Arabidopsis thaliana: one gene and its partners. The protein of the gene in region 1 purifies or fractionates together with the protein of each later gene. This does not show direct contact. Each region holds a gene or a part of one and is shown in the gene's direction. Other genes may lie near its edges.

Region 1 (6,904 bases):
CAGTCAATGTTTAGACTTAATGTTGGTGGTCAGGACATCCCTGGAAGCCAAGACTCCGGTGGGTTGACAAGAACTTGGTATAATGATGCACCTTACATCTTTAGTGCGGGTCTTGGTGTTACACTTCAAGCAAGCAACAATTTTAGGATCAACTACCAGAACATGCCGGTGTCTATAGCTCCAGCCGATATATACAAAACCGCAAGATCTCAAGGCCCAAACGGAGATATCAACCTCAAATCCAATCTTACATGGATGTTCCAAATCGATAAGAACTTCACCTACATTTTGAGACTCCATTTCTGCGAATTCCAGCTTTCCAAGATCAACCAGAAGGTTTTCAACATTTACATCAATAACAGAACAGCGCAGGCAGATACTACTCCTGCAGATATAATAGGGTGGACAGGAGAGAAAGGAATCCCGATGTACAAAGACTACGCGATATATGTTGATGCCAACAACGGAGGCGAAGAGATTACACTTCAGATGACTCCATCAACTTTTGGTCAACCGGAATATTATGATTCATCTCTTAACGGGTTAGAGATTTTCAAGATGGACACCATGAAAAATCTTGCGGGTCCAAACCCCGAGCCATCGCCTATGCAAGCTGAGGAAGAGGTTAAAAAAGAATTCAAGAACGAAAAGAGACACGCTTTCATCATTGGTTCGGCCGGAGGAGTTTTAGCGGTTTTAATCGGTGCCTTGTGTTTCACGGCCTACAAGAAGAAACAAGGATATCAAGGAGGCGACTCTCACACATCAAGTTGGCTTCCTATATATGGAAACTCTACCACATCAGGAACCAAATCAACCATCTCAGGGAAGAGCAACAATGGAAGTCACCTATCCAATCTCGCAGCAGGTTTATGCCGTAGATTCTCTTTACCAGAAATCAAACACGGAACACAAAACTTCGATGATTCCAACGTCATTGGAGTTGGAGGGTTTGGTAAAGTCTACAAAGGAGTTATAGACGGCACAACTAAAGTAGCGGTAAAAAAATCAAACCCAAATTCAGAACAAGGACTCAACGAATTCGAGACAGAAATCGAACTCCTCTCAAGACTAAGACACAAACACTTAGTCTCCTTGATAGGATACTGCGACGAGGGAGGAGAAATGTGTCTCGTATACGATTACATGGCATTTGGAACACTCCGTGAGCATCTATACAACACAAAGAAACCACAATTAACTTGGAAACGAAGGCTAGAGATAGCTATTGGAGCAGCAAGAGGATTACATTACCTTCACACAGGAGCAAAGTACACGATTATACACAGAGACGTTAAAACAACTAACATCCTCGTAGATGAGAACTGGGTAGCCAAAGTTTCAGACTTTGGGTTATCCAAAACTGGACCTAACATGAATGGAGGCCATGTAACAACCGTCGTCAAAGGAAGCTTCGGTTATTTAGATCCTGAATACTTCAGAAGACAACAACTGACTGAGAAATCAGACGTTTACTCATTCGGAGTTGTTCTGTTCGAAATCTTATGCGCAAGACCAGCGTTAAACCCGAGTTTGCCTAAGGAACAAGTGAGTCTCGGAGACTGGGCAATGAATTGCAAACGAAAAGGGAATTTAGAGGATATAATCGATCCGAATCTGAAAGGGAAGATCAATGCAGAGTGTTTGAAGAAATTTGCAGACACGGCGGAGAAGTGTCTTAACGATAGTGGATTAGAACGGCCGACAATGGGAGATGTTTTGTGGAATCTCGAATTCGCACTTCAGCTTCAAGAGACTGCTGACGGGACTCGTCATCGGACTCCGAATAATGGAGGAAGCTCTGAGGATCTCGGTAGAGGAGGCATGGCGGTTAACGTCGCCGGTAGAGATGATGTGAGTGATCTCTCCTCAGAGGACAATACCGAAATATTCTCTCAGATTGTAAATCCCAAAGGACGATAAGGTAATTTCGCAATACGTATACTAATTTTGTTTTTCTTCTCTTAATTTTGGTGTTAAAGTTTTTGTTTTTGTGTTAATTGCAGGATTAGAAAAGGAATCTGGGTAACAAAATTTGAAGATGATTTCATTTATATTGAGTGGTATTTTTCAATAAAAACATTTGTAAAATTATATCCCTTTGTGATGTTACATGTAATCAAAAATACATTGTATTAAGATTCGTAGTTAGAATTTTTCTATGGTAAATTTTTGTATTAAGTTATATTTTACTGAGTTTATTAAGCTAGAAACAAATTATTATATTAACCGGAAAACTGTATAGTAGAAAAATGGAAAAGGTTGTTCAGGTCGGTTAACGGCTCAAACCGGGATTAATTCGTTTTCCAATTTTGCCTTAATCGAAAAAATGGAAATTACAGCGATATAAACCTAAAGTAAATTGATTTCGTAAGTCGAATTCACTGTTTCTCCTCAAACACACACACACGTTTGCGAATCTCCGACGTCCGTTTCTCCTCGCCGTAGAATCGCCGTTCATTCTTTCGCCGCCTTCAGTCTTCCCTCCATTGACCCTTTTTTTGGTAATTCGTCTTCTTTTTGCTCTCTCGTTCTCTCTTTTTCGATTTCTGGGTACAGAAATCGATGGCTCTCGTTTTTCTTTCTCTGTTGCTGTTCTATTACTTTCTCTTATATATATATGATTGTTACTCTAGTGATGAATTTTGATACATTGGTTGTTTGAAATTGATCTCTGTTGTGCTTTTATAATTCCGGGGTCAAGATTGGCTGTTTAAATCTAGTAAAGTTTGCATTTTTCTTTTCTGTTTGCAGAGATTAACTTGATTATACTTTTGTTTTTAAGAAGAAGAAGAGCGATTACAAGCGCAAGTGTGTATAATGACTTAAAGAGAGCTCCTGTTACTCCGAGTGATAGATAGTCTACAATTATATCTTACTCTGAGTGAAAGCAATGGCGTACGGTGGTCCGTCCATGAATCCACCGGCTTTGAGTGGAGCTGTTCCCGGGTCTGCTAATCTGAAGCAAGTGAAATTGGAGAGAGAAAGCGAGCTCAGGATCGAAGTCTCTGAAGAGCCTCTCAGACTCCGTGTGGTTAACGGGACCGCTGAGATTTTTGGCTCTGAACTGCCTCCTGAAATATGGCGTACCTTCCCTCCTCGCATGAAATTTGCGGTATGTGTTTTCTTAATCCTTGGTTTTTAGAGCGATCGTAAGCATTATGCTTTATGGCTTATAGATAAAATGTAGCTTGTTGGTAACATATTTGGTGTTGGGTTTGTTGGTAGAAAATAACTAGCCATTCTTGATTTAGTTTCTTTTAGTGGTTATCTTTCTTAAAGTGGGTTCTTGAGTTACTATTGAATTCACCCTCTGGCCTTTTGGGGTTGGAAAGGTACATCCTTTGCCAGTGAAGTTTGAGGGTTTTTGGGTTTGAGTTGGATGAAAGACTTATGATTTAGGTTGTAAATGAAGATTATGCTGTCTAGGTAAGAATTGTTAAGTGGGTTGTATAAAAAGATTGATGATAGATGTGATTTTCCCCCCCAATTTCTTTCTTTTCTATTTTTCCTTCTGCTAATGATTTATGTAAAGTTCATAATCGGAGCTCTGAAACACCGTGCTTACCATCTTGTGCCTTTTGATTATTGTCAGGTTTTCACTTGGTATGGAGCGACAATTGAGATGGATGGTGTCACGGAAACTGACTATACAGCAGATGAGGTTGGATTACTTGTTTCATTCCTACGCTTGCTTTAAATATGTAGAGCAAATTTTGTTTACTAACTACATCTCTGTTTCCAGACGCCGATGGTCAGCTACATTAATGTGCATGCCATACTAGATGCAAGGAGACGTTTTGCCAAAGCTTCCACATCTAATGACCCAGAATCTTCTCAGGTACTTTTCTTCGATATTCAATATTATTGTATTGCAATATCAGCATAGTTAAAACACTTGGTTCTTAAGAATTCACTTAATGCAGGGACCTCGGGTTATTGTAGTAGGGCCTACGGATTCCGGGAAGAGCACATTGACAAAGATGCTCCTTAGTTGGGCAGCTAAACAGGGATGGAGACCTACATTTGTAGACCTTGATGTTGGCCAAGGCTCGATTACAATACCAGGATCTATTGCTGCTGCCCCTATTGAAATGCCACTGGATCCAGTTGAAGGGTTTCCTCTTGATATGGCCCTTGTTTACTACTACGGCCACGCATCACCAAAGTAAGTGATTCTCAAATTTCTCCTACCCATCATACGTTATTCCCCTCGATGAGGAATTTAAATATGTCTACTTTGGCTCTCTCAGTATGAACGTTGAACTGTACAAAGCTCTGGTGAAAGAGCTTGCTCAAGTTCTGGAGAAACAGTTTGTCGGAAACCCTGAATCGCGAGCTGCTGGAATGGTGATCAACACAATGGGATGGATCGAGGGGATTGGTTATGAGGTAAAAGTTAGATCCTTTTTAGCGTATTTTTTGGTATAGTTAGCTCCTTCTTAGTGGATTTCATTATGCAAATGCCTGATAAAGAACTGTATCTGCTTCGTCTTGCAGCTGCTTCTCCACGCAATAGACACATTCAATGCCTCGGTTGTACTTGTATTGGGTCAGGAAAAACTCTTCAGCAGGCTTAAAGATGTGCTGAGAAGTAAGAGTAATGTCGACGTCGTGAAGCTTCACAAGTCTGGTGGAGTTGTAGCCAGGGTCAAAGAGGTCCGTAAAAGATCAAGGAACTTTAAGATTCAGGTAAAATTTTCAATCTCAAATCTTTTAATATCCCTTTTTTCATGCCTTTGGAGGTGTAACTCAGAACTCAAAAACTGAATTTTCCAGGAATATTTTTACGGTTTATCGAAAGAACTCTCTCCGTATGCCAATACATCGAGTTTCAGTGATCTGCAAGTGTTCCGAATTGGTGGTGGACCACAAGCGCCAAAATCGGCTCTTCCAGCCGGGTCTACCTCGGTTTCAAATCCGTTGCGGGTGACGCCTGTAAATATCGATGATCGGGATCTGCTGCATTCTGTTCTTGCTGTCTCATACGCAGAAGAACCAGACCAGATCATCTCAAGGTAATCTCTAAAAGTTCTTGCTGTTTCCAGAATCAAAGGCTTTCGTGTATGTTTTCTTCGTGATTTTGATATTTCTTTCTCTCTGTTTTTTCTTTGATACAGCAATGTTTCTGGGTTTGTGTATGTGACGGAAGTTAATGTGCAGAAGAAGAAGATAACGTATTTAGCACCATCGCCTGGGACATTACCTAGCAAGTTGTTGGTCGCTGGATCATTGGCATGGCTTGAGTCAGTATGACTTACTTAGAGAAGAGAGGAGCCATGTTTTTTGCTTGAGAGAATGATGCAGCAGCTCGATTATGTAACGTTAATTACAAATAGCCTTTTTCTTCTTTATCAAATGCACAAGTTTTTGAGTTTAAAAGATCATTATTGCGGAATAGATGGTTGGTTGTAATTTGATGTTATGAAGTGAGCAAAAAATAATGTTGATTTACTAGTGCGTTAGTTCTGTTTGTTTGGTTCAGCATATTCAAGTGATGTGTGTAGCATTTTTAAATTTGATAGGTCGAACATATCTTATGTTATTGGATGATTTCGAAATAGTATATGATAATGTTCAAAGTCACACATGTATTATTATTGGTTATTAATTCAACTAAATTACTATCACATTTTAAGTCACTTCAATTGTATTGTTGTATAAGCTCTGTATTTAGAATCGGATCCGAAGAATATTAGTTGGTCTGTCTAACCAAGTCGCATTAATCTTATATGATTCTCCTAGAATAGAAAAGAATATTTTATTCTTATGCTAATTCAATTGAAAGATAATTAAAACGGATATGTTTTGAGTTCAAAATGTTAAAATTGTCATTCATTTGCAATAGACAAAACATATTTAGAAAATTCTAAATTTACATGCTACAAGATCTTCTATATGCTTTAATAGCCTCATTTTTTTTTTTAACCCTGCACATTAAATACAGAAAATTTCAATCATTTGACTGATGATTAGAGATTTATAGATATAAGAAGAAAGTTTCACTTATCATTGTGAATATGATAAAACAAGAATAATAAAAATATCGTATAATTAACAACAAGAACAACAAACACAAAAAAAAAAACAGAAAGAAAGAAAACAAAAAAGAGCTAGTCAACAATCGTGATTCGTGATACAACGTGCTAGAGAGACGACCAGATGAGATAGGGCACGTGTCGAAATCTATACCGTTACTTTTCTAACTCCGTGCTCGGAATTCGAAATCAACGGGAGACACGTGGGTTCCACAATGGACGTTATTTCCATTTCATGACAATCGAGAAATAGTTAAATAAAAAATAAAAAATATTTTCTAAAATGAATACAAAATCAATTCGAATTTTGCTTTGGAATTAGAATCATTTTTAAAACATATGAATATAGTAGTACAAGAATTTTACTGAGTCAATGTCCAATTATCATTAAAGATATTTGACTCTAATCCATTCTCTTTCTCTAATTTTTCTTTAAAGATATTATAGTTAATCACATCATTTACTTTAAGAGAAAGATATCCGAAAATCAGAAAATGTTAAGATACATTATCTAATTTCCTTTAATTGATACGGTTTATGATTTTAATCAATTTTCTATTTGTACGAAAAACAGTAGGTATAAAGTAGGTCCACTAGTAGGACCCACCTAAGAAACTCTTTTTTAACAGAGGGCTCTGTTTTTTTTTTCTTCCTCTCCTCTGAAACTGCGACGACCACATCTCTGTTCTGTATTCCACTTATGTTTTTGTGTTTGGTTTTATTTTCCCCAGAAATTGAATAACTTTAGCTTTTAAGAATAAAAAGGAAAATTTAAAATTGAAATTTGGTCTCCTTGAGAAGTGAATAAATGAAGAAAAAAAGGAAATAAAAAGGGGTTTTTGGTAATATTTAAAAATTGTAGAAAT
Region 2 (9,114 bases), on another chromosome or scaffold:
GAGTCAAGTCTTTGTTCTACCAAAGGGTTTTTATAAGAAAATTGACAATCTCTGCTCTGCTTTTTTGTGGAAAAATACTACTTCGTCTGCAAGAGGTGCAAGAGTTGCTTGGAAGGACATTTGTAAGACAAAAGAGGAGGGTGGGTTAGGTATTCGATCTCTTGAGGAATTTGCTACTGTTTTCAGGTTGAAACAGGTTTGGCACCTCTTTACTAGAAGGGGCTCATTGTGGGTTATGTGGTTGGACCATAACATCTTCGGAAGAAGGAACTATTGGTTGATGGATAGCACACCACGTCTATCTTGGAACATTAGGAAGATGTTGGAAGTAAAATCTGTGTTCCAGAGATTGATTAAATGTCAGATGCGAGACGGTATGAAAGCCTCTTTCTGGTTTGATTATTGGACAAGCCTTGGTCCCCTTATTGAGCTTTTTGGTCAGTTGGGCCCAAGAGAGCTTCGGATCAGTAGAAATGCTAGCGTTTGGGAAGCTACACATGAAGGTCAATGGCATTTTCCCAATGCGAGATCTCACCAAGCTGAGCAGTTGCAGATTTGCTTGTCCTCGGTTGCCCCGCCTTCTCCTTTAAGAGGTGCTGATTGGTACCAATGGAAGCAGCCCACAGGTACTTTTTCTGAAACATTCTCTTCGAAAGGAACTTGGATGCAAATTAGACAAATTTCTCCTCATGTGGCTTGGCATAAAGCTGTCTGGTTTAAGGAATCTGTCCCAAGGTTTTCATTTATCCTTTGGATGGCTTCCCATGAAAGGTTGACAACGAGAGATAGGCTTTTACAGTGGGGTATGAATGTACATGGTTCTTGTGTTCTGTGTGATTCTGGCCTTGATTCCCATGATCACTTGTTCTTCAAATGTGAGTTTTCTAGATCACTTTGGATTTCGCTCGCTGGAAGGATTTCGCCGAATCCTCCACTCTCTTTACCCTTGGCTTCTATGTGGGTTCTTGGTGTACATTCTTCTCCGCCGCACTATGCAAGTAAGATCTTAAAACTTCTTCTTCAAACCGCTGTTTATATGATTTGGAAAGAGCGCAACCGCAGAGATTTCTCAGCAGATGCTACCTCTCTCTCCGCTACAAAAATTCTCGTTGATCGCACAATGCGTAACCGTCTCATCTCCTTCTCGCCGGAGGAATCAGTTACCACTATCTCTCTCCTTGGATTCTACTTTGGTTGTATTAGTACCCCACTATAGGTGTGGCAAAGCTCATATTTATGTATGTATGGTGTTCCATTAGTCTCTCTTCACAAGAGCTCGGTGTGTTTTTGGGGTTTCATTGTACTATGTAAACCTTTTTTCATTTGGTATAAATCTTAACATTAAACCAAAAAAAAAAAAATGTTGAAACCTGTTAACATAGTCTATTTATACTCTATAAGTGCAAAACAGGGTTTTAACATGATTAAGTTTCGTAGTGGAATATAATAGCGGATTGGGATTGTGTTTCATATAGCATTGCCATTGGGATGTAGTGAATCTTGTTTGGAATAACGTATATCGATTTTTTTTTTTTTTTGTTATTTGGGAGATTTTAAGTTCTAATATGACAAGATTATAACATTTAATTTAACATTAAACCAAAAAAAAAAAGATTGTAACATTTTCTGAATTTTTGTAATTCGTTTTACTAGTGTCAGTTTTTTTTTCTTTTACTTTTAACTCTTTCAAATATTTAGTTATTTTAATGTTTTAAAAAAAAAGACTAATTTGCATCACCACTATCTTTGGGTTGAATATTTATTCAATATGTTCCACTATGAATACGTGAATTATGTGTGTGTTTTCATCTACAATTCATACACACACTCTGTCATGATTGTGAAATAAGCAGTAAAACAACAACAATACTAGAAAAAACCACACTTTGGGACATTAGAGTTCGATGTGAATACAATACTAGGATTTTCTTAATGTTAATGGCGATGCCTCTATTCATTCTTCTTCCTCTTTCTTTTATAGTCGTCCTTCACGTGTCCTGCCCGATCCGCAGTATCCACCCTAGAATCTCGTTGATCTCAACAGTTCTTCAGATCTTTTTCATGCCATCTCGCGGTTAGTTGCTTAAGATACACTCCTCGAGCTTGTTGATCAACCGGAAGGCCGACGGATGGGTTTACTAAACAAACTCATCCGTTATTTCCTACTCGCAATACATAGTTCAGCCTGAACATATGTGTCTAATTGATAGGGTAGGCCAAGTAACAACATACACCCAAAAAAAAAAAAATAAAAAAAAAAATAAAAAAATCGTGGAGATTAAAAAAGCTAAACCAATCGACTTCTTGATTAGTTTGATGATTTTATTAATCTTATCGGTTAAAACCGACCGGCGATCGAGGGTTTGGCTTGCCGAGAAGGAAGAAAAAAAAACCCTAAGATTTATTTCTACTCTTCACTCCATTATCGACTTCTCATCATTTCTCTACCCATTGTACTTCTCTGCTCTTGGGTTGTCATCAATTCGCGAATTTGATACACGCACACCCTAAAGAGAGATCCACGCTCGTTTCAAGGTAACCTAAATTCGAACACTTTCGCAGTTTCCCTTCGATTCGAATAAATCACTGTTCTCCGTGGGCAACAATGTACGCCGGCGGCGATATGCACAGGGGTTCACAGATGCCACAACCACCGATGATGCGGCAGTCGTCAGCTTCTTCCACTAACATCAATCCCGACTACCACCACCCATCTGGCCCCTTCGACCGTAAGTAGACTTTGAGCGTCTTCCTTTTATCGGATTAGTGATGACTGTGAGATTTAATGTCTCTCTGTCTGATGTTGCAGCCAATGTAGACAGTTTTGGGGCGAAACGAATGAGAAAGCATACACAGAGAAGAGCTGTTGATTACACCAGCACCGTTGTTAGATATATTCAGGTAATGTATTCCCATTGCTGCTCACAGTATTTCTTTGTTAGAACCTTTTGTACTGCTTGATTATATTTCTCTTGTTTTCTGTAAAGTTTTAGTCTTGGTCTATATACTCATAGCCTCTGCTTTCCCCAGTTGAATTCTTCGGTCCTTTTTATCTCAAAAGCCATTAGATAGGATTGTCTTTATGTCATGGAACTGATATGGATATGTAGTTCAACGAACTCATACTTTATATGGAACTAAAAGTAGAGAGTGTTTACTCCATATATGTTTTTGTTCAGGCTCGAACATGGCAGCGAGACTCAAGGGATAGGACCACTCTGCAACCAACCCCAGCTGCAGCAGTTGATGTTAGATTTCTTTGCTTTTCTGGGTTTTGCAATAAGATTGAATGGTTTACTGATCTAACTTTTATATCAATGCTTCAGATGCTTCCCACAGTTGCCTATTCGGATAATCCTTCAACAAGCTTTGCTGCAAAGTTTGTTCACGCATCTCTAAACAAGAACCGTTGTTCAATCAACCGTGTATTGGTATATCCCTCTACCAGCTGTGTGTTTTGTATTATTCTCTGTTTGCCATGTTTATCTATTCAAGAAAGCAACATCTTTCTTTCTTTGTTTTAACTCTATTATGCCAACTTAATGGGATCATTGCTGATTGGGTTTCTTTTATTTAGTGGACACCTTCAGGAAGACGTCTTATCACGGGCTCCCAAAGTGGGGAGTTTACTCTTTGGAATGGGCAATCTTTTAATTTTGAAATGATTCTTCAGGTTCGTTTCTCAGATTGTATAACTAATCTGTTGAAACTTCTGTTTTGATTCTTCTATAGTTGCTGCTCCTGGTATTGACTGTTTAAATTTGTTGTCAATATCAGGCACATGATCAACCTATTAGGTCGATGGTATGGAGCCACAATGAAAATTATATGGTTTCTGGTGATGATGGAGGCACATTAAAGTAAATTTGTTTTTCCCTTTCAGTCCCTAACTTATGATGTTGTAAACGAGAAGCTCAGAATTCTATGATTCAAATGCTGTGACAATAAGGATCAATTGTTTCTTATGTATCAGGTATTGGCAGAACAATATGAACAATGTGAAAGCCAATAAAACTGCTCACAAGGAATCAATTCGCGATTTAAGGTAAAAAAAAGTTTGATATGTTGAATTGCATTAAATGAATCTCTCAAAACTGAACAATGTGTATCCAACAGTTTTTGTAAAACAGATTTGAAGTTCTGTTCGTGTTCTGATGATACGACTGTTAAAGTCTGGGATTTTACCAAGTGCGTAGATGAAAGCTCATTAACCGGTAATGTTATTTGAACAGATTGGCGGCAGATACTTTATTTCTTTGTTGCTTGCTCTTCTAATTTGAATTTAGAAGGCCGCTTGAGATGTGCTGTACGTTATTAGAATTGGATTCTTAGGCTACATAGGAAAAGGTGTCATTGAGATTCGCTTTGGTGTCATGCCATGTAACGTTAGTTAGTTTTAAAGGTTCCAAATTGGTGCTTATAACAAGTTTCCTATCCTTTTGGAGGCATGTTTTCACAGTTTTCTTCATATTTGTAATATTTGAGAACTTTCGAAGTAATCAAAGGGTTCTTTATATTTTGAACTCAGGCAGGCCATGGTTGGGATGTCAAGAGCGTTGACTGGCACCCCACAAAGTCCCTACTAGTTTCTGGTACATTATTTTATAGACTTCTATTTGAATAATGCAATAAAAAGAAACCGCTGTATATTTCAGAGCTTCTCTATGGCTGATCATTAACCGCTTTAATCTGTGTTGTCAGGTGGAAAAGACCAACTTGTCAAACTCTGGGATACTAGATCTGGGAGAGAGCTTTGCTCACTGTAAGTAGTACATAATGTAATATGTAATTTTATTATAGTTTCATGTTCAAAGCTTTGACGAATTTGATGGCCTATTCTTACTTCTGCAGCCATGGTCACAAAAACATAGTACTTAGCGTGAAGTGGAACCAAAATGGCAATTGGCTTTTAACGGCCTCGAAAGATCAGATAATTAAGGTAAGTCTCACTTTCTTTTGGGTGGGGGGGGGGGGGGGGGATATTGATTTGTAAATGAGATTTTTTCCTTGCATTATGGAAGCATTTGTATGACACTTATGCATGTAATCTGCAGCTGTATGATATAAGGACTATGAAGGAGCTTCAATCCTTTCGTGGGCACACGAAAGATGTAACATGTAAGCTGTCAAATTCTATAATGATCATGTTTTAAACACGTGAAATCAGACAAACTGGCCGCATCAAATTACTTTTCTGTACATTGACTAGGACTCTAGAGTATATGCCTTTGAAAGATTATCATTGTACCCATGCTTTACTTGTCGACATATGAGACATTATCCCATGGATGCGAGTTTTCAATTTGTTTCTTCGATATTTCTAATTTGCAACTATTTCTAATTAAAAGTTGTCTTAACTCTTTTTAAGCTTTGGCGTGGCATCCCTGCCATGAAGAATATTTTGTCAGTGGGAGCTCTGACGGCTCCATTTGTCATTGGATTGTGGGGTAGGTACTGTTGTGCAGCAGTATGCTGTTTTATTTATTCGTTCATGCTGCTATTGTTTTAATCACTTATAAGGGTTTTTTAAATCATGTTTCTTCTCTACATTTTATATTCAGTCATGATGCATCTACATACTAGTAGTCTAGTAGCATCTTACTTTACCTTATATTTTGTGGTTTTTGTTTGAGGTGTATCTAATTATGAAAACTTTTCTTAATTCCCAGGCATGAAAACCCGCAGATTGAAATCCCAAATGCTCATGATAACAGTGTTTGGGATCTTGCATGGCATCCTATTGGATATCTTCTTTGCAGGTAGCAATTTCAATAGTCTGGTGCTATGAGTTCCTTACAGTTTTATTCTATGATGTGTTGTGGTTCCCTGTGCTCTTGAATAACTAAATGCTTCAGATAATGATTTTTAACCCTATTATCTGCAGTGGTAGCAATGATCACACAACCAAGTTTTGGTGCAGAAACAGGCCTGCAGATAATCCCCGAGATGTTCTTATGCAGAACCAAGGTTTGTTTTTGGGCTATTAGTATCTGATTTTTTAGTAGGCATTGGGATGGATAGGTTGTGGGTAGTACATAATTACTATGTCCTTATCCATCTCAGTAGTAAGGATGTTGTGATAGGCTTAACTGGTCAGGCCCTGGCAGGGTCAGTCATATACTCCTATAATGGCTGGTTCGAAATGGACCTTGGCTTTTTAAGGTTCAGGCTCGGCCAGCCATATGGCACCGTGATTAACTGAATTTTTTTGTAGAAAAGAACAGACTTGACTGGTCAAGCTGAGCTGATCTGATATAGGTGCAGATTTCTACAGGCTTTAAAAACTCAGACCCAAGTACTCGGTCATTAGTATCTCACTTACTGTTTTAATTTTGAGCATGTACTTTCAAGTTGCATTTGTCAGAAATTAGTGTTTTTTATTTAGTGTTTACTAACAAATTGAAGATGTGATTTGTGTGTACTGATAAGCGTAATTTGTATCAGGCTATAATGAACAAGGTTTTGGTCGCCAACCTGATAATTTCCAACCATCTGAGGCATCGCCAATCCCTGGAGCATTTGTGCCTGGGTTGACACGGAACGAGGGGACTATCCCAGGAATAGGAATAGCAATGCCATTTGATGCATCCTCTCAAGGGGATCATAAACAGCCTCTTCCAGGTTCCATGGCACTGGGGGCTCCTCCTTTGCCACCTGGTCCCCACCCATCGCTTCTTGGAAGTGGCCAGCAGCAAGGGTATCAGCAACAACAACAACACCAAGGTCATCCCCAGCAAATGCTTCCAATGCCCAATATGCCTCACCATCAGCTACCACCATCATCTCATATGCCATTGCACCCTCATCATCTTCCCCGGCCTATGCAAATGCCTCCTCACGGTCACATGCCACCTCCCTCAATGCCTATGTCTCATCAGATGCCTGGATCAATGGTATGGCCCTCAGATCTCTTGTAATTCAACCACAACTTAAGCCTGGCTTTTGTCGGTACCCCATGTGTTGGATTCCTCTTTGTTTTATTTTCTTAGTGATATCTTAGAGAGGTGTAGAAAGAGATATTAATCCTCACTTGTTGTTGGAGTAGGGAATGCAAGGTGGCATGAATCCTCAGATGTCGCAAAGTCATTTTATGGGTGCTCCTTCAGGAGTATTTCAAGGACAACCAAACAGTGGCGGACCCCAAATGTATCCCCAAGGACGTGGTGGTTTCAACCGTCCACAGATGATTCCAGGCTACAACAACCCTTTCCAACAGGTCCCATTTAAACACTAGTCTTTTGTTATTTAGTATACCCGTAAAGGTTTCACATGTATATATGTGCAAATAGGCAAAATGTCTACACAACAATGCAAAACACCTGATACGATTGAACCACAATACAACTTTCTCAGCTAGTTTTAAACTCACTAGCTAGGTTCAATGGTATGATTAGATGTTGAAAATGTAGAGCTAAAATAGCATAATCCGTTGACTAATCCGTTGTCTATATTTTATTTCGTGCAGCAGCAGCAGCCACCTTTACCTCCTGGCCCTCCACCAAACAACAATCAGCAACATCAGTAGGCAGCCGTTGTATTAGTACATTAGTTTACAACCGCACTGTCTGCGGGATAAAACGATTGAAGTAAAACTATTATATGGGATTCAAATTTCGTTTCTATAAAACAAAACATAAAAAAAAAAGGTTTTTGTTCTGTTCCAATATGCAAATAATTTGTATTAGAATTTTTTGCACCCGTAAAATATTTGAGCATAGTAACAACTTCCATGTGGAGAAAGTATTGATGAAATACTATGATTTATGGCACATGTCTTTTTTGTATTTTTAATAATTAAATTCATATATTTTATGTTAAGTGACCACAGTCATAATACTCTAGTTTTGATACTTAATGTGAACAAGTTACGAAGTTTTAGTGGCTTCACATGTCAAATACTCTAGTTTTCGTTAACCCGACAAACTTTTTTTTTTTTTTTTTTTTTTTTCATAAATTTCCAATTAACCAAAAAAAGTTGCAATACAAAGCCAAAAGGCCAACACAGCACGCAGGCCTGAAAGAACAAAAAACAACCAAATACAAGTTTAAAAGGCTAGATCAAAGGCAGAAGCCCAGAAGACCCAAGCCACCACAGCAGACGGCGAAGGAGCTAGAACACCAAAGCCCGACCCTTTGAAAACCTGCACAAGGAGAAAGCATCAGACTTGAGGAGGATCTCTATTGAGGAAGAGAGAAAACCAAGAACCCAAAAGCGAGAGTCCGGATCTCCCAGGAGCGCGGGAGCGAGAGAGAGGATCCAACCGAGCCCTTATCACCATCTGAATTTCCTTAGTGATAAGATGAGAAGGCCGCCTGATTTCAAATTGAATACGAGCATTACGCTCTTTCCAAATAAAGTAGACAGAAGCTTGGAAGAGAAGCTTGATAATGAGCATTAGATTCTTGTCCCTTGTAGCCGAATTAAGCCACAGCAAGCAATTCATGAACTGAGGAGGCGGCGAAAATCCAACCGCCCTCATAAAGAAGGTCCAAATTCTTGAGCTGAACCTACAAGCAAAGAAGAGATGGTCCCGAGTTTCATCGACCAAGTTACACAGAACACACTCAGCATGAACAAGGAGCCCCCAACTTCTTAACCTGTCCCGAGTGTGTAGCCTATTCCAAGCAGTTACCCATGAGATGAAAGCATGCTTAGGAACCTGATTTGTAAACCAAACTGCCTTGTGCCAAGAGACTGAGACAGAGAACGGTTGGAGAGCTCTCCAAGTATCCGCTGTAGAAAACTTTGAAGAAGGCACCCGATCACCTACTTTCCAAAGATAAGAGTCATCATGCTCACAATCAACCAAATTCCCAACAGGAGGAAGAAGAGATTTCAGAAGAAGAATAACCGGATTCCTGCTTCTACTAGAGGCAATCCACCAGTCATCGTTCCTAATGGCGTCCCTGACAACAGAGGTAATGGAAAGCCCAACCAGCTGAGGACCGGTCAACCCCGTTAAGTGTATAAGCGGTCCATGACCTGTCCAGTTATCCTGCCAAAAGCTAGCAGTGATTCCTGAACCAACTTCGCAAATAACAAAAGGACGAGCAACTTCTCTAAGTTTACAGAGCTTCCTCCAAACCCAGCTGCCCGAGAGATAGGGATTAAGA
Region 3 (6,280 bases), on another chromosome or scaffold:
AAGTCAAACTTATTTTAGTCAAAAAAAAAAAAAACTAAACAATTTAGGAGTTTTTTATTTTTCTTCTTTTGAAGTTATTTTTGATTTGGTTATTGTGTATGATATTATAATTCATATAATTATTACGGTTATATTTCATAATTAGTTTAATCGTGTATGTTCAACTTTTTTAATTGAACTAGATTATTAGTTAAACTAAATCGAATTACGATTGGTTAGACTGTTAGATTTTTATTAAATCAAATTTAACTTGAAAATAAATCAAAATCTTCACTCTTCATTTTGATTAAACTAAACAAAAAATAAACTAAACAATTTAGGAGTTTTTTCTTTTTTCTTTTTTGAAGTTTTTTATTGATTTGGTCATTTTGCATGATATTATAATTATTACGGTTATATTTCATAATTAGTTTAATCGTGTATGTCCAACTTTTTTAATTGAACTAGATTATTAGTTAAACTAAACCGAACTACATTTGGTTAGACTATTAGATTTTTATTATATCAAACTTAACTTGAAAATAAATCAAAATCCTCACTCTCGATTAACAATAAACGTTTTCCCTTTCTTCCCCTTCTTGCGCTTGTTCTTTTCAAGCTTCTTCTCCTTCATCAACTTTTCAATAAACTCATCGTTCTTTTTCTCAAACTCTCTCAGAAGTTTCTTAAGTTGCTGCTTGTCGTTTGCCAGTTTCCTTAAATCTGCAGTAGTTAGTTTGATTTTACTTCCAAACTTGATTCACAGAGAAATAAGCTTCCTTATGTCATTCTCCACGTCATCCTCCTCCTCCTCTTTCTTCTTGTCCTTCTTCTTCTCCTTGAGATCCCAGATAATGCCAACTTCTTCTTCAAGGATTTTTGTATCAAAGTAGTCATTTTCGTTACCAGGTGCAGAAACAGTCCACTTGGAGTAGTTGATAAGGTCACGTTCAAGGTTAAAGTGATGAATGGCATATGTGTATGCAACAGACACAGATCCATCCTTTTCCCATGAGACATGAGCCTCTTCTTTCTCCTTCTCCACAAGAACCTTTTCAACTCCCTCTTCTTTCCCTTGAGCTTCAAGTCCCTCTTTCCTCTCCTGAACCACACGTTGAACTCCTTTGGCCACTAAAGGATGCCAAAAATCCTCGAAAAGGAATCGAGGCTTTGGAGCCTAAGAGAGTATCTCTTTGTGAATAGTTTTAACAAGCACAGTGTAAAAATTTTCTTCCTTGACATTTTTTCTTCTGGTAATGAGAAATAAGATAAAAATTTGGAGAAAAAGAGGATGAAGCAGAAGAAGAAGTATGTAAAAAGAGTAGTTATAGGTGGTTAAACTTAAAGCTATCATTGTTGTCGTCTTGTATGGGGGAGGAACACTCAAAATCGTTTCACAGAGACTTGCAGGAGGTTTCTTATTTTATGAGGACAAGAGGTGAGAAGTAGAGGAAGCCCAAAGTTGGTTATTTTCCTTTTCAAGATTTTTCAACAATTAATAAGAAATATTATATGAACGTATCTTTAAATCAATTAATTATTAGCATTTGTTTTCATAAACCTTATAAGGCATCCCCTTGTTCTCCAAAACAATTACTGTCATCCTCTTTCTAAGTGAAAATTATATTTTTTTTTATCGTCTCTAAGTTGTTTAAGGGGTTAAAATACTAATTACAAAAACACAATCTAAAACATAAATAATAAATACGTTTATCTCTTACATATTTTTGCTGAGATTTTTTTATTAGAAGTATAAAGATTTTTGGGGAAATTTGATACTAAGGATCTTTTTTAGAACTAAAAAGGAAAACAAAAATATTTTACAAAATGATATATTTCGATATATAAAGTTTTAATGCAGTAATGAAACTCAAAATGATTGATAACACTTTCTAATACTTTTATGTTGCAAAAACAAAATCATGGTGCAAAATCCACTACTTTTATGTTGTAGTATATTTCTAGAAGAAATTTGGTTTCATGGTATATATTGGGTATTAAATAAAGATTGGACTATCTTCCCTTTGGCTTTGGTGTGTCATAGATAGTGATAAGAAATACCTCTTTTTTTGGGCATTATTTGTTGACAAACGATATAGAAAATTATAAACAAAATAAAGATCATTGGAAAAACATCATTTGACCAAAGATGTGTATATGTGTCCCAATCAGAAAGTTCATAACAAGTTCCTCTCTTCTCTTCTCAATTCTTATGCATCCACATCATCATTGATTTAATGCTTTTAAAAACAGAACATTACATTTATTTTTTTAAAAATGTATTACTTTTTGGACAATACAAGTTTGATACATATAACGGATTTCGCAAAATATTTCATGTTCTTTTTGCAAACAAATAATCCCCAAAAAAAACTAAAGGAAAAGAAATTCGTAAAGACCAAACTCGTAATAAAGAGTATATACTGTTTCCCCTTAAAAAAAAAAACCAACCTAAAATTAAAACCCGTGGGTTTAAGGATTTGATCTTTTAATGTTCACAAAATCGAGACCCTAAATTGCTCTCACACTCACTTCCCAATCTTCTTAGTTCAATTTCAATTTTTAGAATTAGAATCTCTGAATCCCAGATTCCGGTAGAGAAGATGAGTTTCGCGGCCTATAAGATGATGCATTGGCCTACCGGCGTCGAGAACTGTGCTTCCGGCTATATCACCCACTCTCTCTCCGATTCAACGCTACAGATTCCGATTGTTTCCGTTCATGATGATATTGAAGCTGAGTGGCCTAATCCTAAACGAGGTATTGGTCCTTTGCCCAACGTCGTTATAACCGCCGCAAATATCCTTGAGGTGTACATCGTTAGGGCTCAAGAGGAAGGGAATACTCAGGAGCTGAGGAATCCGAAGCTTGCTAAGCGTGGTGGAGTTATGGATGGTGTCTATGGTGTTTCTCTCGAGCTCGTGTGCCATTATAGGTACGTGTTTGTTGACAATTACCTCCTAAATTACTCCAATTTTGGTACTTTGACTTTGAAGTGACGATGTGATTGGTATTGGATTGTAGGTTGCACGGTAATGTTGAGTCAATTGCGGTTCTTCCTATGGGAGGTGGTAATTCTTCTAAGGGAAGAGATTCGATTATATTGACATTTCGCGACGCCAAAATTTCAGTTCTTGAGTTTGATGATTCAATTCACAGCCTTAGGATGACGTAAGAGTGTTTTGCTTTTGTTGGTTTTGGTAAATAAATAAATGAATTCAGCTTTAGTTTCAGCTCTGTCTCCTCTCAATTGTTTCTTTTGACCTATATACGAGATGTTCTGTGTCCAACTATTGTTTTAACTGTTTTATACTTCTCAAAGTTTTGGTCTTTACTTACGCATTGTTATTGTTTCTAGCGATGCAAGTTACGTAGTATTGGATCATATACTGAAGCGTTCTATTGTCTATGTCTGATTGTTTCTTCTAGTTATCTAATTTATGTACCATTGACTCCTATACATGACTTCAACAAATAATAATGGATATGTGGTTCCTTTTCAGTTCGATGCATTGTTTTGAGGGTCCAGATTGGCTTCATCTGAAAAGAGGAAGAGAGTCTTTTCCAAGAGGCCCTTTGGTAAAAGTGGATCCTCAAGGCAGATGTGGCGGCGTTCTTGTTTATGGTTTGCAGATGATCATACTCAAGACTTCCCAGGTTTTTGTTTTGGCATTATTAATCAACTTCATCTTAACTGTCGCTTTATCTGCTACAAATTTCCAACCTTCATTCTTTTCTTTTATGAACTTTATTTTGGGTTTTAGGTTGGTTCTGGACTAGTTGGAGATGATGATGCGTTCAGTTCTGGAGGGACAGTTTCTGCTCGAGTTGAATCATCTTACATAATTAACTTGCGTGATCTGGAAATGAAACACGTCAAAGATTTTGTTTTTCTACATGGTAGGTTTAGCAAGCAAGGTTTCTTCATAAACTTATCTCTGAATCAGTAGTTAATCATAAATATATTATGATGATTGTTTCTTAGCTGCTCAACTTGCATCGAATCTTGTGTCCTTGAATGGATCTAGCTTACTAAGTTGTTGTTTGTAGATTCAATACGACAACTGATGTATTCTGGTCATGATTACAGTTTGAAACAAGAGGAAATGTATTGTTTCTTTGATTTTTCAATAACTAGCTGTCTGAAATTTTAGATATTCTAGTTTTCCCAGTAGGCATAAAGAATAAACTAAGTGGTGCTTCTTTTGATTATGTGTTTTTGCATCCTGTGTCTTCTTCAGGTTATATTGAGCCTGTAATTGTCATCCTTCAGGAAGAAGAGCATACTTGGGCTGGGCGAGTTTCATGGAAGCACCATACTTGCGTGCTTTCTGCCCTTAGTATCAATTCGACATTAAAACAACACCCAGTCATCTGGTCAGCTATTGTATGTTCGTATTTTCCTCTTTGTATCTTATAATAGATCTCTTCCCAAGAAATTAAATATTTGAGTTGCACTATTAACTATATTGTAAGCTAAGGGTAGAAATTGAAGTCATCTAAAAGGTTATTGAATATCCACTGTTGTTACATGACTAGACTTTCCAATCAGCTATGACGATGCTCTATTTTTTGTTTAGAATGCTCAAAGAGTTGATCTTTCTTTAGGAAAAATTTCCTAAAATAACAAGCTATTTCATGACTGAAATAGTTACTTCGGCAAACGTTAGTCCCTGATCATACTTATTCCCATTCTTTTGGTATTTTCCAGAATCTGCCCCATGATGCCTACAAACTACTTGCAGTACCATCTCCGATCGGAGGTGTTCTTGTGTTGTGTGCAAATACAATCCATTATCATAGTCAGGTAGTTTTATATTACTTAGCTTTTGGTTGTTTCTTGTTTAAAATTCAACAATTCCAGCCACTCCACCTCAAAGTTCTACAGTTACTCACACATCTGGATACCATATATATTTGTAGTCAGCCTCCTGTGCTCTGGCACTGAACAATTATGCCTCCTCAGCTGATAGCAGGTACAGTTTTCTCGCACCTCCCCACTCTTCAAAACCTGCTTCATGCTTATGGATATAATCTTGTTACCTCAGTCTTAGTTTAGAATCCTAAAGCTTAGAATCAACTTTCAACATTTGTAAAACTCTGTTTATACTGTTAACCACATTTCTATCTCTGTGTGCGTCTGATTTCTTTCAGTCAAGAACTGCCTGCATCAAATTTCAGTGTGGAGCTTGATGCTGCCCATGGAACCTGGATATCGAACGATGTGGCCCTATTGTCGACAAAATCTGGGGAATTGTTGCTGCTGACTCTTATATATGATGGGCGGTAGTATTTTGATCTTCTTTAAAAAAAAATCTTCTGACGCTTGTAAAGCTGGCTGCAACTTATTTTGTTTAAAATATGTGAAACTGACTGCTACTTTCTTTTTTGAAGTGCTGTACAGAGACTTGATCTTTCCAAATCAAAAGCCTCTGTGCTTGCTTCGGTTAGTCAATATGTTCTTTCAGCATATTTGTACTTCAATTTGGATCCTGTTCGATTAGAGATTCCCTATGATGATATACCAAATTTCTTGCAGGACATTACTAGTGTTGGAAATTCCCTTTTCTTTTTAGGTAGCCGGTTGGGAGACAGTTTACTGGTGCAATTTTCCTGTAGATCTGGGCCTGCAGCATCATTACCTGGCTTGAGAGATGAGGTGATAGTTTAATCTTTCTTAGGCTGGTCAGAGTAACTTCTTTTTAAAATTGTTAATCCAGAACTTGAAAATTTCCTAAATTTATGCAGGATGAAGACATTGAAGGTGAGGGTCATCAAGCAAAACGTTTGAGGATGACTTCTGATACTTTCCAAGATACAATTGGAAATGAGGAGCTTTCATTGTTTGGTTCAACTCCAAATAACTCTGATTCAGCACAGGTAACAAGTTCTGTCTTGGTTAGAGTTTCGTAGAATTTTCTGTTGAGGTTCAATCTTGGAAAAATTAGATGGCTCTACTATATGAATTGGGGTTCCGTTGCAGAACATTCTCCATCTTCCTATCTATGTGTGCTTTCAATTGCAAACATTCAGTCTAAAAAAATTAATGTTGAACGGAAAATGACTTCATTAGTTTAACTACCGAAGAAAGACTTTTCCTTTGTGCAACATGTATTGTATCAATAAGAGTTAGGTAGCTTATGTTCTCCTTTCCATGAAGTTTCTCATATTTTCTTTTCCAATAAATGCAGAAATCGTTTTCATTTGCAGTGAGAGATTCACTAGTTAATGTTGGCCCAGTGAAAGATTTTGCGTATGGCTTAAGGATTAATGCTGATGCAAACGCCACTGGGGTTTCCAA
Region 4 (9,504 bases), on another chromosome or scaffold:
GTTCGCCGGAAACAAGCGGAGGAGAGAAAGACACGTAGACAACTAGAACCATAGCCGCTGTTAGATCGAGGAGCCGAGTCGTCGTCTTCATTGTTACAGTTTTGGACGCTTCAATGGTGAAAGAAGGAGACTGGGAATGAAAACGGCGTCGTTGAGTTCTATGCCTGTTGTATCAAAGGAAAATAATTGATTTGGGGATTTAAGAGGGAAATGGAAAGGTTTATAGTATTTATAGATAATAAAGATTTTGTGGAAAGTAATTCATTTGGAGAAGAAAGGGAAAGGAGAGGTCAAGTTGGCAAAGAGGTAAGAGAAAGAGAGAGATTTATGATATTGATAGGCACAAAGAAGTTTTTGCCATCTTACAATTTGTTTTCCTTTCTATGAAAAAGATTGATTGTTGTTACCAATTGTTAGAAATCTCTTATCATCTTTAAAAAAAAAACTCATATCATATCTATGCATAAATATGTATGTATAATTCACCACATGGAGAGACTCACTTATTTTTCATGTGTATGTGTGTAAAGAGAGACATATCTGACCCAAAAAAATAATCTTTGATTTGTTATTGTTTACATTAATTTATTTATTAGAAATATAAAGTCCACATGATATTTTCTTCCTTAAGAACTTTAGCTTTAAAAATAGATGAAATTTTTCTGTTGAGCTAAAAGATTCATTTCCCTCTATACATTCAGATTTCTATTTTCGTTTAGTAAATATTTCCTTGTAATTCTACTGTGGTCCACCATTGTAAATTCATTGTTTATGTTTTTGTAAGAATTTTCAATCTGTAAATGTATTGAAATCCAATTTCTGTATTGGTATTAAAAACAAATTTCAGTGACAGCCACAGGCTCACAAAAACAGTTCTACACTACTACTTATCAGTTTCACACGAGAGCTAAGTTTAGTTATGTGCAGTAGACAGCATAGGGCGTAGATAAGGCCAAAAAACAAAAAACAAATGATTAAAAAAAAGTTTTTTTTTTTGCAAGAATAACCATATTTTGATACTTTCTTTTTATTTATTTATAAAAAATGTATTGTATTTTTAGATATTTTTCTAAGTATGGAGATGGGTCTTGATGGGTGGGTCACCAGCTGATGAATTAGAATCGAAAATCACATTCTTAGGTGTCTTTTGGTTTAGGTTCACCGAATCTTCTTAATCTATCTTTAAAGAACCAAAAAAAAACACACACAAACAATTGTCTTCAATCTCTCTGGTCATTTTTCTTATGAAAACAAGTATAATAATTACATTTATTTACACTCTTTAACTAATCAACCTATTATTACCTAACTACAACTTTCATATTCATATCAAGAAAGAAAGGTTTGATAGTTAGTTATGGTTGTTATCCTTAGCCATTATGATTTTGGTTTGGTCCTCACGGGTCCTCCTTCACCAAATGCATATGTTTTTTTTTTTTTTTTTTTTTTTTTTGTGTTGCCTTTGAAGTGAAGCTATCACAATTTTGAATCAAAATGTTGTTTGGCTTTCTAACGTGCATCAATAAAATCAGGAAGAACTTATCATTCGTCACAATCAACATACCAGCTACTTGTTTCTTATTGTCCATCATATTCCTAACAAATGATATATATAGTTCATCTCGAACTATTGAATTATTAAGTATTACGCAACACACCTATGTCAAATGATCTGAACTTCGATACTATATCAGAATTCAAATACGTTTAATTCAAAATTAACTGAAAGTGAATTCATTCATTAATATCTCTTATTTCATAGAAGAGATTTCCAACATTTTTTTACCATTGTAGTGATCTTTTAGTTGCAACATTTACTAATTAGTGATAAGAGAGCACACATGTGGGAGAATTAGGCACGTGTGAAGAGCTAAAGAGAAGCATGAGAAGAATAAAAGAGTATAAATAGGGATATTAGAGAGGAATTATAGAGATTATCCTGCGTGATCATTGATGTTGTGAGGAGAATTAGGGCTTGTGTGCTATGTTCTTGATGATAAGAGATGAGCATTGTAACTCCGATCTTATCAATATAGGGTTTTGATTCATTGTAATTGGGATTTACGGATAATAAATACAAAGGTTTATGCGTAAGTTCTTATCAACTTGTAATGGTCTTCTGGTTGCACCATATGCTCATAGATCTAGTGTATTTGGTACAACTGCTTAAAAGTTTTTGATTTACTCTAGTATATTTAACGGAGATTTGCCTATTTTTCCTTAAGGGTGTGTTTAATGTTTTCATGTTGAAACAATGAATGAAGTTTCATGTAATTTTAAATGAATGAGCAATCATAATGAAACCGATCTACTTTGAAGTTTGAACATACAATAGAATTGACTCATATGCTTATAATGGACTCACCATCTATGTTTCACTGCTACCACAACATTTTTTGGTAAAAGATTCACTAATCCCTCTTTGTGTTGGTTAAAAAATCAAGGTAAAGAGAGAAAAAATTTCAAAGATTATATGTACCAAATGAACAATTTGAAAAGAAAAGGGTTATTTTAGAAGTAAAAGGAAATATATGGACCGGGGAGGTTATTATTACAGAATTAAAAAACCCTCTTTCACGGTGGCTTCTTCTTCTTTAGTTCATCGGAGAAATTTTAGGGTTTATATCGGCGAACGGAAAAGATGGGTACTTCGGTGCAAGTGACTCCTCTCTGCGGAGTTTACAACGAGAATCCTCTCTCCTACTTAGTCTCCATTGATGGTTTCAACTTCCTCATCGACTGTGGTTGGAACGATCTCTTCGACACATCGCTCCTCGAACCTCTCTCCAGGTTTCTCTATCCTTATTATCTACATTTCCAGAATTCACCAATCTAATTTGTTTTGAATTCGATTCTTCTGGTTTACAGGGTTGCTTCTACTATAGATGCAGTTTTGCTTTCTCATCCAGATACACTTCACATTGGTGCTCTTCCTTATGCTATGAAGCAGCTTGGACTCTCCGCTCCTGTTTATGCTACTGAGCCTGTTCATAGATTAGGTCTCCTTACAATGTATGATCAGTTTTTGTCCAGGAAGGTGAGATTTTGTTAACTACTGGAGTGGTTATTTTTGCGCAATTGTCTGCATTGTAACACGATGATCTTACTGTTGCAGCAAGTATCCGACTTTGATCTGTTTACACTGGATGACATAGATTCTGCTTTCCAGAATGTGATCAGATTGACTTACTCTCAAAATTACCATCTTTCTGGTATGTGGTTTTAGTGATTTCTAGGCTCTATAGCAAACTAGAAACAATTGACACTTATCTCAAGCAAGTTTGATCTGCATTATCTATGATCTCATATCGGGAAGGAGTTCTTTGACACACATTGAGTATTTGGTTGTTGAAACCTAAGTTATGACTTCAAAGATTGTTAGGATGTCTCAAGGTTTTATCGTTGCCCTATCAGGAAAGGGAGAGGGTATTGTAATTGCTCCTCATGTTGCTGGACACATGCTGGGAGGTAGCATCTGGAGGATAACAAAGGATGGGGAGGATGTTATATATGCTGTTGACTACAATCATCGGAAAGAAAGGTACATATGTTCAGATTTTATCTTATTTGAAGTTCGAGTAATGTTCATAACAGTAAGTAAAGATGTGGACTCGTGATACTGAATTGTATATCTTAATTCAGGCATTTGAATGGAACTGTTTTACAGTCTTTTGTTCGGCCTGCTGTTCTGATAACCGATGCATATCATGCTCTTTATACCAATCAAACCGCAAGACAGCAAAGGGACAAAGAATTTCTAGGTTAGCTTGTAGCCCAATATGTGTTGTGTATCTTCTATAGTATTTAAAACAGCCCGCTTCTAACTGCCAGAAACATGTGTGCATGTCCCCATTTATCATTCAGATACCATTTCAAAACATCTTGAAGTTGGAGGAAATGTTCTATTGCCAGTAGACACTGCGGGTCGTGTCCTGGAACTTCTCTTGATACTTGAACAGGTAATAGAACCGCTTTGAATGTATCATGCTCTTAGTTAATGTTCAGCTGTTTTTTAAAGACTGGATATTGATCAAACCTGCAGCATTGGTCACAAAGAGGTTTCAGCTTTCCCATTTATTTTCTCACGTACGTGTCATCTAGCACAATTGACTATGTTAAGAGTTTCCTCGAGTGGATGAGTGACTCCATTTCAAAGTCCTTTGAGACTTCACGTGATAATGCCTTTCTATTGAGGTAGATTTTCTTATAAGAATGCCTTATTTGTGCCGTCGTTTGTTTAGAATACAGAAGACATCACATGAAATTTAAACACATGCAGGCATGTCACTCTGTTGATAAACAAGACTGATCTGGATAATGCTCCACCTGGTCCAAAGGTTGTTTATAAAATTATAAGTAACTCATTAGTGTTTGTTAGTACATAGAACGTGGTGGATTTATTATTATTTCCTGTCTTTTCAGCTGATAATAGAACTAGATTTTTTCCTATTATATGTTGTAGTGACTAAATCTCATAATATAGGTTGTTCTTGCTTCCATGGCTAGTCTCGAAGCCGGTTTTGCTCGAGAGATATTCGTGGAGTGGGCAAATGATCCCAGAAATTTAGTCCTCTTTACTGAAACAGGCCAGGTATGTTTTTAGAACCCACATACGTTGAGGAACGAAAATTTATTAGCATTGCTATAAAGACCTGATGGTAGATTCTTTTCCTAGTGCTGATCAGCTAGTTAAGTGGATATATGAGAATCTTTTTTGTCTTCTGATCTGAATAAGAGTTCCCCCATTTATGTGTGGATATTTACCCCCAATATGTACACAATAGGCAGAGATTGAGTACCTTAAAGCAGCATTATAATTACCACCAAAGCCTGGCTTGCTCCTTTAGGATAATCTCCAGAGCTTTCAGTCTTGAATTTATCAATTAGTTACATCCAGTACAAAATAAAGGGTCTTAGTAGACTATCATATTAATGGAATTGACACCACTATGCACAAACTGTCTAATTGGCCATATCATTCATCTCAAATGAACATAATTTTTTTTTGTAACCGCGTACTTTGTTTATTTTTCTTCTAGCGAGACATCATCCTGTTCCCTGAAATATCATACTTTTAATTAAAATTCAATCTAGACAAAAATAAATTTATTCAAATAAATAGTTTGGAAACAAATGGAAGCTTTGGTTAATTATTCACGCTTTTCTCAGTTCTGTGTGACTATGCTTTCTTGTCCATGTCAATCTATCCAGAAAACAGAGCATTACGGAATTATTAAGTTTGAAATACCAGTAACACCGTAAATCCAAGTGAAATTATCGAAGTTCTTCATCCAATTTGTTACCTTTGCCATTGGTCGTGTTCCTTAGTTGCGATGGCGATTATACTTTCCATGTGTCCATTCATAGTTCACGTGATCTAAGATTTGCAAGATGTTTCGGTTTGTAGTCAATCACATAAAACTAAACTGCTGTTAGTTTGATTTTTAATTGTCATTTGCTTCTATTTGCAGTTTGGCACTTTAGCTCGTATGCTTCAGTCAGCCCCACCTCCAAAATTTGTTAAAGTCACCATGTCTAAGAGGGTTCCTTTGGCTGGGGAAGAGTTAATTGCATATGAGGAAGAGCAAAACAGACTGAAAAGGGAAGAAGCTTTGCGAGCTAGCCTCGTTAAAGAGGAGGAAACAAAAGCTTCCCATGGATCCGATGATAATTCAAGTGAACCTATGATCATAGATACCAAGACTACTCACGATGGTAAATTTTTTCTTATTTTATATAACATTTTATTACCCTTGAATATTCTGTGGCCTGTAACTTCTTATTTTTCATGTAAACTTTAACTTAATTGAAGTATCTAGTACTGAAAATGGCTATGCACATAGTACCCTCTGTAATGTACTGGTTAGTTGGTTTTAGGAGGCATTTATGTGGTTATCTTGAGTGACCTAGAAGCTACATTTAGAAGTCTCACAATACATTTCTGGGTAATTTGTTTAGTTTTTCACAGTCCCACAATATGTGTCTGTTTCAATTAGACCTCTGGCTACCGTTGTTGATTGCTCTTCTTTCCACTACATAGTGGTCTGCAACTGACCTTTTACATTTCTGACTACTCTTGCAGTTATTGGTTCTCACGGGCCTGCATATAAAGATATATTGATTGATGGATTTGTTCCCCCATCCAGCAGCGTAGCTCCAATGTTCCCATATTATGATAACACATCTGAATGGGACGACTTTGGGGAGATTATTAATCCAGATGACTATGTGATCAAGGATGAAGACATGGACCGAGGAGCAATGCATGTACGTTCCTTGAATTCTGGTCTTGGTCTTGGTCTTTCTTAGCTCTTGTTATATTTGCAAATTAGACCTCTTAATTTCCATGATGTTTGCATAGTGGTGGTTCCTTTTACGATTTTTGTATCAAGAAGAACAAAGATGTAAGAAATCTGCATGATATGCTCTGAGGATTTGGGATACAGATAGGAAATCTTTTGCCATAAAGTTGCTTAGGCTCTTGATTTGGTATGAGTGCAGTTCTTCAAATGAGTGCACTGGTTCTACAGTTCCATCTTTATATTTTCCTTAACAACTGATTGCTTACTAGTAAAGGTTTAGGGTCATTCTATGTAGAGTCTTGTGTTGCTTATTAAATTTGTGATATAATTTTCCATTTCAGAACGGAGGTGATGTGGACGGAAGGCTTGATGAGGCAACTGCTAGTCTCATGCTTGATACAAGACCTTCGAAAGTCATGTCCAATGAGCTCATTGTAAGTAGACTCTAATTATATCCAAAGAACAATACATTGATAGAGATTTTGTCTCAGTTAATGTCCTCATTTGTTCTCCCTTTCTAGAATCTCTGATTATTGTTATAGACTGCTTATCAATGATAGGCACAAGGAGTAGTCTTCTCACTTAGAAATAGAGAGATAGGAATTCTCATTGACATGGCGTTGTGCCTGTCAAATTTATCTTCATCTGATGATATGCATACAAGAAATTTATTAATTGATCTTCTAATTAGTTATCACGGGAGACCTTGCTAATCAGATCTTTAGCACGATAATTCAACTTACAGATATTTTGTTGTTTGGATTAATCGGTCTAATTTTCTTCTTGTTATTGAACAACTTTTGTGTTCTTACTTTTACCCACTTGATCTTATGTCATGTAGAAGTTTCAGAAGGTTATTCTCAGAACGTAGGCCTTGCCTGCTAAACAAAACAATATGGCTCTTTAGTCTTCTTCTGTCTATACCTAACTGCTGTCTAATTTCCCTGATAAATGATTTAGTTTGTTCTTATGCTTTTGCACAGGTGACTGTTAGTTGTTCACTTGTTAAAATGGACTATGAAGGTCGGTCAGATGGCCGCTCAATCAAGTCAATGATTGCGCATGTTTCTCCTTTAAAACTTGTACGTTTCTCTCTCGTCTTATATATATATAGTGTTAAGCACTGAACTGGAAACTTGCGGTGATCTAATACTATATATCATGTGAAGGTTTTGGTGCACGCGATAGCTGAGGCTACAGAGCATTTGAAGCAACACTGCTTGAACAACATCTGTCCACACGTGTATGCTCCTCAAATAGAGGAAACGGTCGATGTGACTTCTGATTTATGTGCTTACAAGGTAGAAATTACTTAGAATTAGGAAGATCCTTTTTAACTCATGGGTTTTGAGTTGTGTGATTGAATTAACCCTGTATGGTGATACATCAGGTCCAACTTTCTGAAAAGCTGATGAGCAATGTGATCTTCAAGAAGGTACCTTTTATTTCCGTGACTATTTTTTTCTTCTTTTCCGATTTGCAACCAATGTCTCTGAAGAATGATGAAATAATATCAGCTGGGAGATTCAGAAGTAGCTTGGGTGGATTCCGAAGTAGGGAAGACAGAGAGGGACATGAGGTCTCTACTACCGATGCCAGGTGCTGCTTCGCCACACAAACCTGTTCTAGTAGGTGATCTGAAAATCGCAGACTTCAAGCAGTTTCTGTCGAGCAAGGGTGTTCAGGTAGAATTTGCAGGTGGAGGAGCTTTACGTTGTGGTGAATATGTCACTCTACGAAAGGTTGGACCGACGGGTCAAAAGGTAATTCAAAGCAAATACTGCATTTCTTACAACAAATCAGAGAATGACTTATATATGTTGGGGATTGTTCAGGGAGGAGCATCGGGTCCACAGCAAATTCTGATAGAAGGACCGTTGTGTGAAGACTATTACAAAATCAGGGATTATCTCTATTCTCAGTTCTACCTCCTCTGAGCATGATATAGAAAAAAAATGAAGCTTCTTCTCATTTTCTCAACATTTTTCAACCACTCAACATGTAATCTCGTATAGTTTATTGCCTTGCTTATAACCCTCAAATCTTATAGATTAATGTGTTAAAAATGGCAATAGCTTTTTGTAACTTTTTTGTACTTGTCATCTTAGTAGAAGCTTAAGTTGTCATTGGATATATTCCACTCCTATTTCGGTAAAGCGGTAAACTAAAACAGTAAAACGTGATAAACTCTCTTCTTTGTTCCTTGTATGTTCTCTCAAAAGTTTAAAATGAAAGCGAAAACACTTTCCATTCAAGAGCTTTCAACACCTGGTCTTGGCTTCGTGCTGACGTGGCATCTAGCTTTTTTTTTTCACTTGTGAATTAAACCAACCATATGTGTTAAACATGGAAAGATAAATAAAAGCAATTAGGTGGTTAGGTGTGTTAGTGTGAGGCTGATCACTGTCCAACGCTCTCCCTTTGTGCAATATTCTGTAACGAAACCAACCAAAAACACAGAATACATTTGATACAATTACTTTAATTCCAATTAAACCCTAATCCTCCTCTACCATTCTTCTACTGACGATTCTCTTCATATTTTCTTATCCTCTCTTACTCTCTCTACAATCAAACCATGGCTTCTGCGACCGCCACGTGGACACCTACCTCCCTCCAGCTTCGTCTCGCTTTGAGCTCCGGCGTGCGTCGGAAATCTCCCGCCGTTTACTTACGACCATCGCGATTGGCTAGGAAATCGGGTTATGGAATTGTCTGTGTTTCGCAGAAGCCTGAAGTTGATGCGTGGACCGGATCGGATTCGTCAAAGTCGTCGGCTGATAATTTGGCTGGGTGGGATGATTCCGATAACGATGACAAGAAGTCTTCCAGAGTTAAGAAGAAGAGTTTGATTGAAGGTATATGCGGATGAACATCTGTTTTTGGATTCTGATTTTATTTTTCAGTGTGATTCGGAGTTTTCGAGGTTTCGTAAGAACCAGCTGGTGAAATGTTTGATTACACAATGAAGCTAAAACTATATGGCTGCATAGTTTACAAGTGTAATTTGGTAGGAGCCATGAGTGTTGTTTTCTTATGGATGTACTACACATAATCTTTAGATTGAGTTGATGAACCGTATACGCCGATTTGTTTTTGTGGTCAATTGTTATTGAGAGGTTCGCTAAACAGCGCACATACTCAAATGGTACATTGCATGTTACGTTGGAGTTTGGTTAAGTCTCTTTAGCATTTTGATTTC

The links.
Region 2: the proteins of CLPS3 (region 1) and FY purify together in Arabidopsis thaliana (affinity purification with western blotting, with the first as the bait; one study listed by BioGRID). This does not show direct contact.
Region 3: the proteins of CLPS3 (region 1) and CPSF160 purify together in Arabidopsis thaliana (affinity purification with western blotting, with the first as the bait; one study listed by BioGRID). This does not show direct contact.
Region 4: the proteins of CLPS3 (region 1) and CPSF100 purify together in Arabidopsis thaliana (affinity purification with western blotting, with the first as the bait; one study listed by BioGRID). This does not show direct contact.

The regions. Positions count from the first base shown.
Region 1 is NC_003074.8:1,268,405-1,275,308, reverse strand, and holds CLPS3 (CLP-similar protein 3), read left to right. Parts: upstream 1-2,304; 5' UTR 2,305-2,504; exon of another isoform or gene 2,505-2,785; 5' UTR 2,786-2,893; coding exon 2,894-3,115; intron 3,116-3,595; coding exon 3,596-3,664; intron 3,665-3,745; coding exon 3,746-3,841; intron 3,842-3,926; coding exon 3,927-4,168; intron 4,169-4,253; coding exon 4,254-4,392; intron 4,393-4,500; coding exon 4,501-4,692; intron 4,693-4,779; coding exon 4,780-5,018; intron 5,019-5,120; coding exon 5,121-5,256; 3' UTR 5,257-5,548; downstream 5,549-6,904. Other genes in the region: ANX1 (Malectin/receptor-like protein kinase family protein), read left to right, coding at 1-1,923. UniProt on the Arabidopsis thaliana protein: Required for endonucleolytic cleavage during polyadenylation-dependent pre-mRNA 3'-end formation. Functions in gametophyte, embryo and postembryotic development.
Region 2 is NC_003076.8:4,325,049-4,334,162, reverse strand, and holds FY (Transducin/WD40 repeat-like superfamily protein), read left to right. Parts: upstream 1-2,191; 5' UTR 2,192-2,535; exon of another isoform or gene 2,536-2,605; coding exon of another isoform or gene 2,606-2,641; coding exon 2,642-2,729; intron 2,730-2,809; coding exon 2,810-2,901; intron 2,902-3,110; coding exon 3,111-3,248; intron 3,249-3,326; coding exon 3,327-3,431; intron 3,432-3,577; coding exon 3,578-3,673; intron 3,674-3,777; coding exon 3,778-3,860; intron 3,861-3,973; coding exon 3,974-4,045; intron 4,046-4,116; coding exon 4,117-4,214; intron 4,215-4,532; coding exon 4,533-4,592; intron 4,593-4,701; coding exon 4,702-4,762; intron 4,763-4,851; coding exon 4,852-4,939; intron 4,940-5,054; coding exon 5,055-5,118; intron 5,119-5,368; coding exon 5,369-5,447; intron 5,448-5,669; coding exon 5,670-5,759; intron 5,760-5,884; coding exon 5,885-5,967; intron 5,968-6,444; coding exon 6,445-6,893; intron 6,894-7,045; coding exon 7,046-7,216; coding exon of another isoform or gene 7,217-7,234; exon of another isoform or gene 7,235-7,384; intron 7,385-7,465; and 4 more.
Region 3 is NC_003076.8:20,977,668-20,983,947, forward strand, and holds the start of CPSF160 (cleavage and polyadenylation specificity factor 160), read left to right. Parts: upstream 1-2,337; 5' UTR 2,338-2,582; coding exon 2,583-2,914; intron 2,915-3,003; coding exon 3,004-3,150; intron 3,151-3,482; coding exon 3,483-3,636; intron 3,637-3,743; coding exon 3,744-3,879; intron 3,880-4,220; coding exon 4,221-4,366; intron 4,367-4,690; coding exon 4,691-4,786; intron 4,787-4,902; coding exon 4,903-4,955; intron 4,956-5,133; coding exon 5,134-5,265; intron 5,266-5,373; coding exon 5,374-5,425; intron 5,426-5,518; coding exon 5,519-5,638; intron 5,639-5,727; coding exon 5,728-5,859; intron 5,860-6,170; coding exon 6,171-6,280. Other genes in the region: AT5G51650 (uncharacterized protein), read right to left, coding at 536-733, 776-1,156, 1,541-1,582. UniProt on the Arabidopsis thaliana protein: CPSF plays a key role in pre-mRNA 3'-end formation, recognizing the AAUAAA signal sequence and interacting with poly(A)polymerase and other factors to bring about cleavage and poly(A) addition.
Region 4 is NC_003076.8:8,049,909-8,059,412, forward strand, and holds CPSF100 (cleavage and polyadenylation specificity factor 100), read left to right. Parts: upstream 1-2,530; 5' UTR 2,531-2,641; coding exon 2,642-2,790; intron 2,791-2,868; coding exon 2,869-3,037; intron 3,038-3,115; coding exon 3,116-3,212; intron 3,213-3,414; coding exon 3,415-3,541; intron 3,542-3,642; coding exon 3,643-3,761; intron 3,762-3,864; coding exon 3,865-3,959; intron 3,960-4,042; coding exon 4,043-4,194; intron 4,195-4,279; coding exon 4,280-4,337; intron 4,338-4,483; coding exon 4,484-4,591; intron 4,592-5,471; coding exon 5,472-5,715; intron 5,716-6,082; coding exon 6,083-6,267; intron 6,268-6,643; coding exon 6,644-6,736; intron 6,737-7,285; coding exon 7,286-7,384; intron 7,385-7,471; coding exon 7,472-7,603; intron 7,604-7,692; coding exon 7,693-7,737; intron 7,738-7,819; coding exon 7,820-8,065; intron 8,066-8,137; coding exon 8,138-8,239; 3' UTR 8,240-8,557; downstream 8,558-9,504. Other genes in the region: AT5G23870 (Pectinacetylesterase family protein), read right to left, coding at 1-91; AT5G23890 (GPI-anchored adhesin-like protein), read left to right, coding at 8,881-9,160. UniProt on the Arabidopsis thaliana protein: CPSF plays a key role in pre-mRNA 3'-end formation, recognizing the AAUAAA signal sequence and interacting with poly(A)polymerase and other factors to bring about cleavage and poly(A) addition. Required for antisense-RNA-mediated gene silencing.